Linked DNA regions of Neurospora crassa OR74A. The protein of the gene in region 2 purifies or fractionates together with the protein of the main gene of each other region. This does not show direct contact. Links are inferred from orthologs where the notes say so. Each region holds a gene or a part of one and is shown on either strand. Other genes may lie near its edges.

What was found. Proteins that work in one complex are often made in the same cells at the same time.
Region 1: the proteins of NCU00018 (region 2) and NCU01318 purify together in Saccharomyces cerevisiae (affinity purification with mass spectrometry; 3 studies listed by BioGRID, with this or other methods). This does not show direct contact. The link is inferred for Neurospora crassa OR74A from reciprocal best matches to the Saccharomyces cerevisiae genes CDC48 and SEC23.

Annotation. Positions count from the first base shown.
Region 1 is NC_026505.1:3,643,849-3,647,950, forward strand, and holds the start of NCU01318 (protein transporter sec-23), read right to left. Parts: upstream 2,809-4,102; 5' UTR 2,492-2,808; intron 2,332-2,491; 5' UTR 2,129-2,331; coding exon 2,036-2,128; intron 1,970-2,035; coding exon 1,839-1,969; intron 1,783-1,838; coding exon 1,008-1,782; intron 946-1,007; coding exon 1-945. Other genes in the region: NCU01319 (hypothetical protein), read left to right, coding at 3,953-4,102. UniProt on the Saccharomyces cerevisiae protein: Component of the coat protein complex II (COPII) which promotes the formation of transport vesicles from the endoplasmic reticulum (ER).
Region 2 is NC_026503.1:2,304,908-2,308,979, reverse strand, and holds the start of NCU00018 (cell division control protein Cdc48), read right to left. Parts: upstream 2,876-4,072; 5' UTR 2,446-2,875; coding exon 2,390-2,445; intron 2,298-2,389; coding exon 2,270-2,297; intron 2,204-2,269; coding exon 2,148-2,203; intron 2,094-2,147; coding exon 1,844-2,093; intron 1,778-1,843; coding exon 286-1,777; intron 227-285; coding exon 1-226. UniProt on the Saccharomyces cerevisiae protein: ATP-dependent chaperone which probably uses the energy provided by ATP hydrolysis to generate mechanical force to unfold substrate proteins, disassemble protein complexes, and disaggregate protein aggregates.

The sequences.
Region 1 (4,102 bases), on a different chromosome or scaffold from region 2:
AATGGAGGTAGAGTCGAGCAGAACGGGGACACCGCCTTCTTGGTCGAAGGTGTAGGAGTCGAGCGTTGGTTGAATCATGATGAGCGAGTTACTAACATCCTCATGGTTGAGAACGTGCCGATAGAATGCGGTCTCATCGGGAGAGTTGTTAAAGACTTGCAAGAACTGACTCCTACGCAAGTGGAACATGAACTGTGGGTACAGCGTGAAGTTCTTTTCCAAGCGGAACGATGACGGGTCGTCCTTGCGGTAATCGGCAAATCTGGCGCAGAGCCTGATGAGCATGCGGTCAACCCACCGGAGCACATCAGGCCCATCGTCAACCTCCGCCTTGAAAACAGCGATACGCGACATAAGCACGGCTGCTGCCTCCTGGTCAAATGACTGCGCGATGGCCGGGTCTCCGGCGGGGCCGCTGAGGTTTCGGGCAATGGTGGTCACCCGAAGGTGGAAGTGGCCAGACGAGTGCTGGTAATAAGTCAAGAACTGCATCATTCCCTTTTGGGGACTCTGCATGTTCTGGGACGGGCCGCCTTGGTTGGCGATTTCGAAGTAGATACCGTAGCTGGAGCTGGGGTCGATACCGCACATCTTCCACGTGCAAGTGTTACCTATGCCGCACTCGGTTTCGCCGACGGACGTCGATTTTTTGTTGAGAGAGACTGCATGACCAATCAACCCAGTAACCTTGAGTTCCTTCGTTGTAAGTACTTCCAAAACCGCATTGAAGCCCATGAGCAGATTGTCATCCGCGTCCTTTTCGAAAATGCGGACGAATGACTGCTTGAACATGGATGAGGTGAAGCTGTCCGTCAGAATCATGTGGCCACCCGTCGAGTTGCACAGACCCTTCATTTCAAGTAGACCAACTTGATCAAGACAGCCGGCAAAAATGTCAATAGTGTGGCCGTTGTGCGCCGTTCGCTTAGCGAGGTTGTCGTAGAACTATAATAAATGTTAGCATGACACAGACTGTTTCCTGCACCACAACTTGAAGATGAACGTACCTTGAGTGCCTTCTTGTAATACTTGATGTTGTCACGGTCGATATCGTGATGGGAGCGGATCGGTTCCCTCAGCTCGGGGCCAACAACCATGCCAGGTCCCTCAGTGGCCGGACCACCAGCAAAGAGCATAATGCGACCACCGGCATTCTGGAACGACGTTTCGAGCAGGCCAACAGCTACGGACAACGCAACACCGGTGCAGCGCAAGGCTCTGAGGTTACCGGCAACAGGCCAGGGATCCTTCTGAAGCTGCTCAATGGCCTTGGTCAACTGGAACTCGGCCTGAGAGACCGGAAGCAAGAATCTTGAGGCAGGGCCGGCCGGGAAGGGCCTGCCAGGCTGTTGCATAGGCATGCCCGGACGCATGGCAGGTTGTACGAGCCCAAGCATCTCCTGGACCTGCTTGGCCGCGTACTCCTTGTTACCGCGGAAAACATATGATTTAGGGCACTCGGTATAGCCAATCTCGTGGACCTGGGCCATGGTGCCGTATGTAATCAGGCCGACAAGGGCGTGCTCGGGCAATAGGCTCAAGCTCATGATGAGCGACTCCTTGAGAGCAGCCAAGCTGTCCTCCTCCTGGCACGTATCGACGACATAGAGGAAGATCGGAGGGGCGGGGGCGGGCCGCGAGAGCCTGTACTCGATGGTAGTGTTGGAAGGGTGCAGCTCGGGTGGAATCGCATTTGCGGTGATGTCCTTGTAGTGTGGCGGGAGAGGATTCCTCGAGAGACAGAAGGGGCAGATCCACAGGCGGGCGCGCACATCGACTTGACTGGGCGAGGGTATCAGCAATGGGCGCGACAAGTCGGGGCGACGAAGATGGCTCACCAGTAGGGGTTTAACACGGAGCGGCAGGGCTGCTTGCAACTGACGGGGTCGAACTGCAGCAGAGGCGTGTCGGGCTTCTCCTTGAGAGGGGTATAAAGGGCGCCGATGGGGACGACGAGTCTCGAAGCTTCCTGAAGAAAGGGTCAGCGATAAAGGGGTGACGCGAAGTAGCAAGTATGCGAAAGAGCGGAACTGACCATGCGGGTGCTGGGGAAGACATTCCAGCTCAGACGAACGCCATCACGGTCCTCGACCTCGCCCCATTGCTCCTTGAGGGCTTCGTAATCCATGTTGATGTCGGCGGCGGCGTCCTCGGTCGATGGTCGCAGTCGGGGATAGAGAGGAACAGCTGGAGAGGGGTGATGGTGGTGTCGGCGGTTTGTTGGATTAGAAGATTAAGGGAATTAATGTGGATGATCCGTCGTCTACGCGGTGGTAGCTCCAGAGATAGGTACGGGGCGGGCGGCGGGCAACGGGCAACGTCGTCGGGCGGCTACGTGCAAGGTGTCATTAGCTCCGAGACCTGGAACGCACGAGACACTCGAGACATCCACCGTCCACCACACAGTCCACAGCAGCTGTCTTGCGGCAGGCGGGACCTGAGGCTAGATGTGGAAGCTAGGGGGAAAAGCGGGCTCCGTGCGAGTACATACCGCGGGGGGAGGCAATAAGGTATGGACGGGATCCCAGTTGTGGTGTGTCGCCAGGAAGATGCAACAACTGAACTGAAGAACCTCTTTTTCGACGCTCCTGAAAATTCAAGGTCCACTTTAAAGTGTTGACTGTCGTCCAGGAAGCCCTGCGCAAGATCACAGAGTTAACGACGCGCTGCTCTTCTGCAATCGGTCAAGTCGTTTGCGACAAGGTGATGGGATCAAAATGTTCAGAAATACCCCAATCGCTTCTACTGCAATGGAAGCCGACTGCAACAGGCGATAGTATCAATTTCTGATTTGCGGCTCTGTTGTCATTTGCTCCCCTCCAGTTGTTGAAAAGGACAGGTACCTCGTTCCCCTCCATCGAAAGGCAGGGGGCAGCTCTGCTGACAGACGACGGGAGGCTGCTTGCCAGCTGGTGCGTAGCCGACGAGCTGACGCCAATCACCACTTACCTCACCGTGCCACCGCGGCCGCCGTGGTAAACTGCATCTCCAAGCTGCAAGTTGCAACCTTTGTTCCGTCAGCACGAAATTGTCGGATGTACCAAGTGTTTTCCCGGTGCAGTGATGTTCCCGCGGCGTCGGATCATGAATGAAAAACAACATTGGCGAATCGCGACATCTCGACATGGAAATTGAATAGGTACCTATTCAGCATCGTATGCTTGCCCTCACCATCGACGCCTCGGGAGACGTCAAGCTTTGATTCCGTTACCCTTGGGCTCCAGTCATGATTCCGACCTGTGGCCGGCTGGCCGTTGAGTTTTGGCTAGCTCTGATTAGCCTGCTCGCATCTCTGTCCTAATGCTCGGTCTTGTGTCGATCCTACCACTCATGCCAGCATTTGGTGTTCTTCAAGAACCGTACCCTGCTCGCCCCATCCTGTTTCAGCCCACTGTGTCGAGCACGACCAAAATACCTTTTTGTGTTACCGTCGGGTTATCCTGAAGAATCCGCCTGTCGCGGGGGAACTCAATCAAACAACTCGCTCGCTCGCAGGCTCAGTCAGTCAAGCCAGCAGATGGTAAACTCGCGGCTGTGCTGCATCGCACAAACGCCCGCTCTCCGGTGATCACCCTCTCTGTTCTGAGCAGGCTCACTTTTACTTGTTACTCGACGAGTAGGGATCAGCCTTATCTCCTACTGTAGTGCTGACTTGATGCAACCCTTGGGTACGCTAAGATACGAAAGGGGCCGAGCAGCCGCCAGGTAGCAGTCAACAGGCACCATTGACAGTCCACGGTGATATTACCGTGGCTCACCTCTCCCGACCTCGTTTATAATTACAGTCGGATCCTATAGGATCATCACCTACCACCATGTCTCGATGGCGCTTCAGGGGAGCTAGCCCTTTTCGTGGGTAGAAAGCTGACACGCGTAGCATTTTGCTCAGAAATTTCTTCCTCCTCTCCCATTCTTCTCTTCTCTCTCTTGTTGCCCTCTGAAATCAGTCATCATGGTCAGGAGGTCGACTTCCCTTCTGTGCTGTGTAATACAGCCGTGGATTTGCCAGGCGGGTAGCACTATCACCCTACCCAAGGCAGATGAATCAATCATCCTTCCACGACAGGTTAACGGTGCTATCAGTCCCTCGACATTTCTGCGC
Region 2 (4,072 bases):
AAGCCGTGGGTCTTGGAAGCGATGTAGTTCAGGTCAACATCGGCAGCGACAGGGGTCTTGCGGAGCTGAGCCTTGAGAATACCGAGACGACCCGCCTCATCAGGAAGGGGAACGTAGATGAGGGAGTCGAGACGGCCGGGACGGCAGAGCGCTGGGTCGAGCTGCTCGGGACGGTTGGTAGCACCAATAACGAAAACATTCTTCTTGGAGGTCATGCCGTCCATTTCTATAGCTCAGGTTAGTATGCACAGCAGAATGGCACAAACCAAGGAAGAATCAACTTACCGGTAAGAAGCTGGTTAACAACACGGTCAGAAGCGCCACCAGCATCACCAACAGAGCCACCACGGGCCTTGGCGATAGAATCCAACTCGTCGAGGAAGACGACGCAAGGAGCAGCAGCGCGAGCCTTGTCGAAGATATCACGGATGTTGCTCTCAGACTCACCGAACCACATGGAAAGCAGTTCGGGACCCTTGACGGAAATGAAGTTGGCTGCGCACTCGTTGGCAACAGCCTTGGCCAACATTGTCTTACCGGTACCAGGAGGACCGTAGAAAAGAACACCGCGAGATGGCGAAAGGCCAAACTTGAGGAACTTTTCGGGATGGTCGACGGGGTACTGGACACTCTCCCTGAGCTCCTGCTTGACAGTCTCGAGACCACCGATATCCTCCCAGCGGACGTTGGGAACCTCGACAACGGCAACCTCGCGAAGAGCCGAGGGGTTGGAGACACCGAGAGCAAAGCGGAAGTTCTCTTGGGTAACACCAAGAGAGTCAAGGACCTCGGCGTCGATAGTGTCTTCGTCCAGATCGATGAGATCCATCTTCTCACGAATCTGCTGCATGGCAGCCTCGGAGCAGAGGGCAGCAATATCAGAACCAACGTAACCGTGGGTCTCAGCAGCAATCTGCTCGAGATCGACGTCATCGGCAAGCTTCATGTTCTTGGTGTGGATCTGGAGAATCTCAAGACGACCGGTAGGGTCGGGGATGCCGATATCGACCTCGCGATCGAAACGGCCGAAACGACGGAGAGCGGGATCGATCGAGTTGGGACGGTTGGTGGCAGCCATAACAACAACGTTGGAACGGGCCTTCATACCATCCATGAGAGTAAGGAGCTGGGAGACGACGCGGCGCTCAACCTCGCCGTTGGTCTTCTCACGCTTGGGGGCGATCGAGTCGATCTCATCAATGAAGATGATAGCGGGCGAGTTCTTCTCAGCCTCCTCGAAAGCCTTGCGCAAATTCGACTCGGATTCACCGGCCATCTTGGACATGATCTCGGGGCCGTTGATCAAGAAGAAAAAGGCACCAGTCTCGTTGGCAACAGCGCGAGCCATCAAAGTCTTACCGGTACCAGGAGGGCCATAAAGCAGGACACCACGGGGCGGCTTGATACCAATGGACTTGAAAAGCTGAGGATGCCTGAGGGGCAGCTCAACCATTTCGCGGATCTGAGCCATCTGCTTACGGCAACCACCAATATCATCGTAACCAACCTCGTTGAGGTTGTTCTCCTCCTCGTCACGCTGGATGGGCTCGCCCTCGCAGTGGATGACGGTATCCTGAGCGACAATACCGTACTCTGGTGGGTCCACCTCGACGACCTTGAACTCGACTTGCCTCATACCACCGCGGACAATAAAGAGATCGCCTTGCCTGACAGGGCGGTAGGCCTCGCGGAAGTAGGGAGCAAGGAAGACGTCGAAGAGAGATCCGGTGATGCCCTCAACGGTATCGGCGATCGGGAGGACGGCAATACGCTTGGCCTACAAGGAGATGCTGTGTCAGCAAGGTGCCCATTCTATGACTAGGTGACCGGGTTATAGACTAACATATTTGATATCGGGACAAGGGTGAATGGTGATGATGTCGCCGTGCTTGACACGGAGGTTGTGGCGAACGACACGGTTGAGGCGTGCGCTGCCATCGTCAAGATCGTCATCGGCAAGAACAATCAAGACGGTGTCCTTTCTCTTCTTTCCGCGGACGAGAACGGTATCACCACGGAAGAGCTGGAGCTGCTCCATGGTGTTGTTGGAGAGGGCGATAATCGAGTTATCATCGTTGACGGCGTCAGTAACCCTGCATATGTGTTAGCTCAGGTTGCAGTGCCCCGCATCTTCAACGTCAACCTACATCAACTGGTTGGGCTTCTTCTTCTTCTTGAGAATAGCAGTGGCGGTATCATCTTCCTGTTCCATCGGTCAGCACGAGTGGTTCTCGAGATGTCTTTGGCGGGCAAGCGAGGTTGAACATACGGCCTTGTGCTCGGCACCAGAAGCGTCCCTGTTTGGCTTCAAGTCAGCTTGGCGTCATTCGCGATGAGGGGGCGCGACAGCTTCGAGAGCTCCCGCGATCAGCGTCGCTGCTTCACGTACATCAAGTTGACCTTCTTCTTCTGCTCGACGTGGTCGGGATTAGGTTCGGGAGCCATCTTGACGTTTGTGTTGGAATCAGTAGAATAAATGTGGTATTTGGGTATCGCGGACGGTGATGCTAATCCACGGAGAGGATGTAGCGGGAAGAAGTGGTTTTGGAGAAAAAGAAACCAGAATTCGTAGCCTCAAGACCCGCTGATAAAGGGATTCTTTGGAGGTTGGACGGCGAGGTGAAGGTGAATGGTGTTGGGATGGAAACAAAAAAAAGGACCAGTCGGAGGGACGAAGTGCCTTTGCGTTTTGGTGTTGGAGTTGGTTTCGTTTACGTTCAGGTTGTCACGGCCAGGCATGGAAAGGACGGTTCGAGCCAAAGCAAGCAAGCAAGCAAGCACCGCTGCGCCGGCGAGTGGCACCGACCGCTTGCTCCCTCCAAGGCCAGCCAACCAGGGGCAAGCAGCTGGTGGCCAGCAGCTGGGGAGCGGCAACAGCAACAGCGGGCATCTGATTCAACTGTCAGTGTCACTGACTGACAAACCGCCCCGCCAGGCGACCATTTGGATGACGAAGTATGAGCGGAGCCTTTTCTGGGGCGACAAAGGTCCGTGCTTTTCGCCCATAGGTACACTTCCATTCTGCCACTCTGTCTGCTTCCATGCCCTGGCTGTTCCGGGCTCCAGGCACGCCTTCTGCCATCGCTCCGAGGATCTTCAGGTCGCCCGACACACCTGGTAAAGCAACGGTGCGGCCGGAACCTTCGAATGCGTTCTACAAAGCTGCTGACAGATCAAAGCTTCATCTTGTTTGACTTGGGGTTCGTTCCATTTCTTCAGTTCGAGATTTACAGTGAATCGAGGTTCGGATGCTGCAGCACCGCTCGAGCACCGATGTCCAGATGGCCAGGCTGTCAGGTCTCTCCAAGGAAGCGAGACATGCTGCCCTGGGATTTCCTATTTGCCCCTCCCCCGCAGTACGGACAACAAGGCGGTCAGTGGTTGTCGCATGCACCACCGGATGGCCTGTACAGAGGCCACAGGCCAACGATGCTGCTAGGTAGGTATCACAGAAAACGAAATGGAACAGGACAACACGCGGAAAGTTGGCAGGCTGCAACTGTCGTCTTATCGAGATTCGAGAGAGTCCGTTTGTCCGGACGTCGCAGGAACCCGCATGCCACTTTGGGTGGAGCAAGCGAGTGACAAGAGCAAACGACGACCCTCGACCCGACCGAGAACCGGGTCCTCAGGGGTTGTAGGACACGTCCCCGCCCGTGCTTATACGAGGCGCGCGCCGGCCATACGGCTCCGCCCCGGCACGCCGATACCCAGTACGTCCCGGAGTCTCTCCCCGGACTGCTCGGCGCCCGGCTGGAAGAAGGCGGGGCTAGAAGCCAGGGAGCTCGGTACCCTTGTAACGTACTACATACATACACTACAGTAGTGTAGTACCATGGGTGTTAGCTACCCCGCTGTACATGGTGACCCCAAAGACGCTGCGGCGCGCCGCCCACCTGGCCATTCAGAGTCCAAAGGGACCTCAAGGTCCCATAGTCCAATGCCTCCACGATCCGGATCCGATATACCGTTACTACCTACTGTACAACACGCATTGAGCCAGAATGGGGCTGGAGCTCGGAGGGTGTGGCATTTCCTTTCAGGCAACAGACTAACAATCAAACCAGCCTCG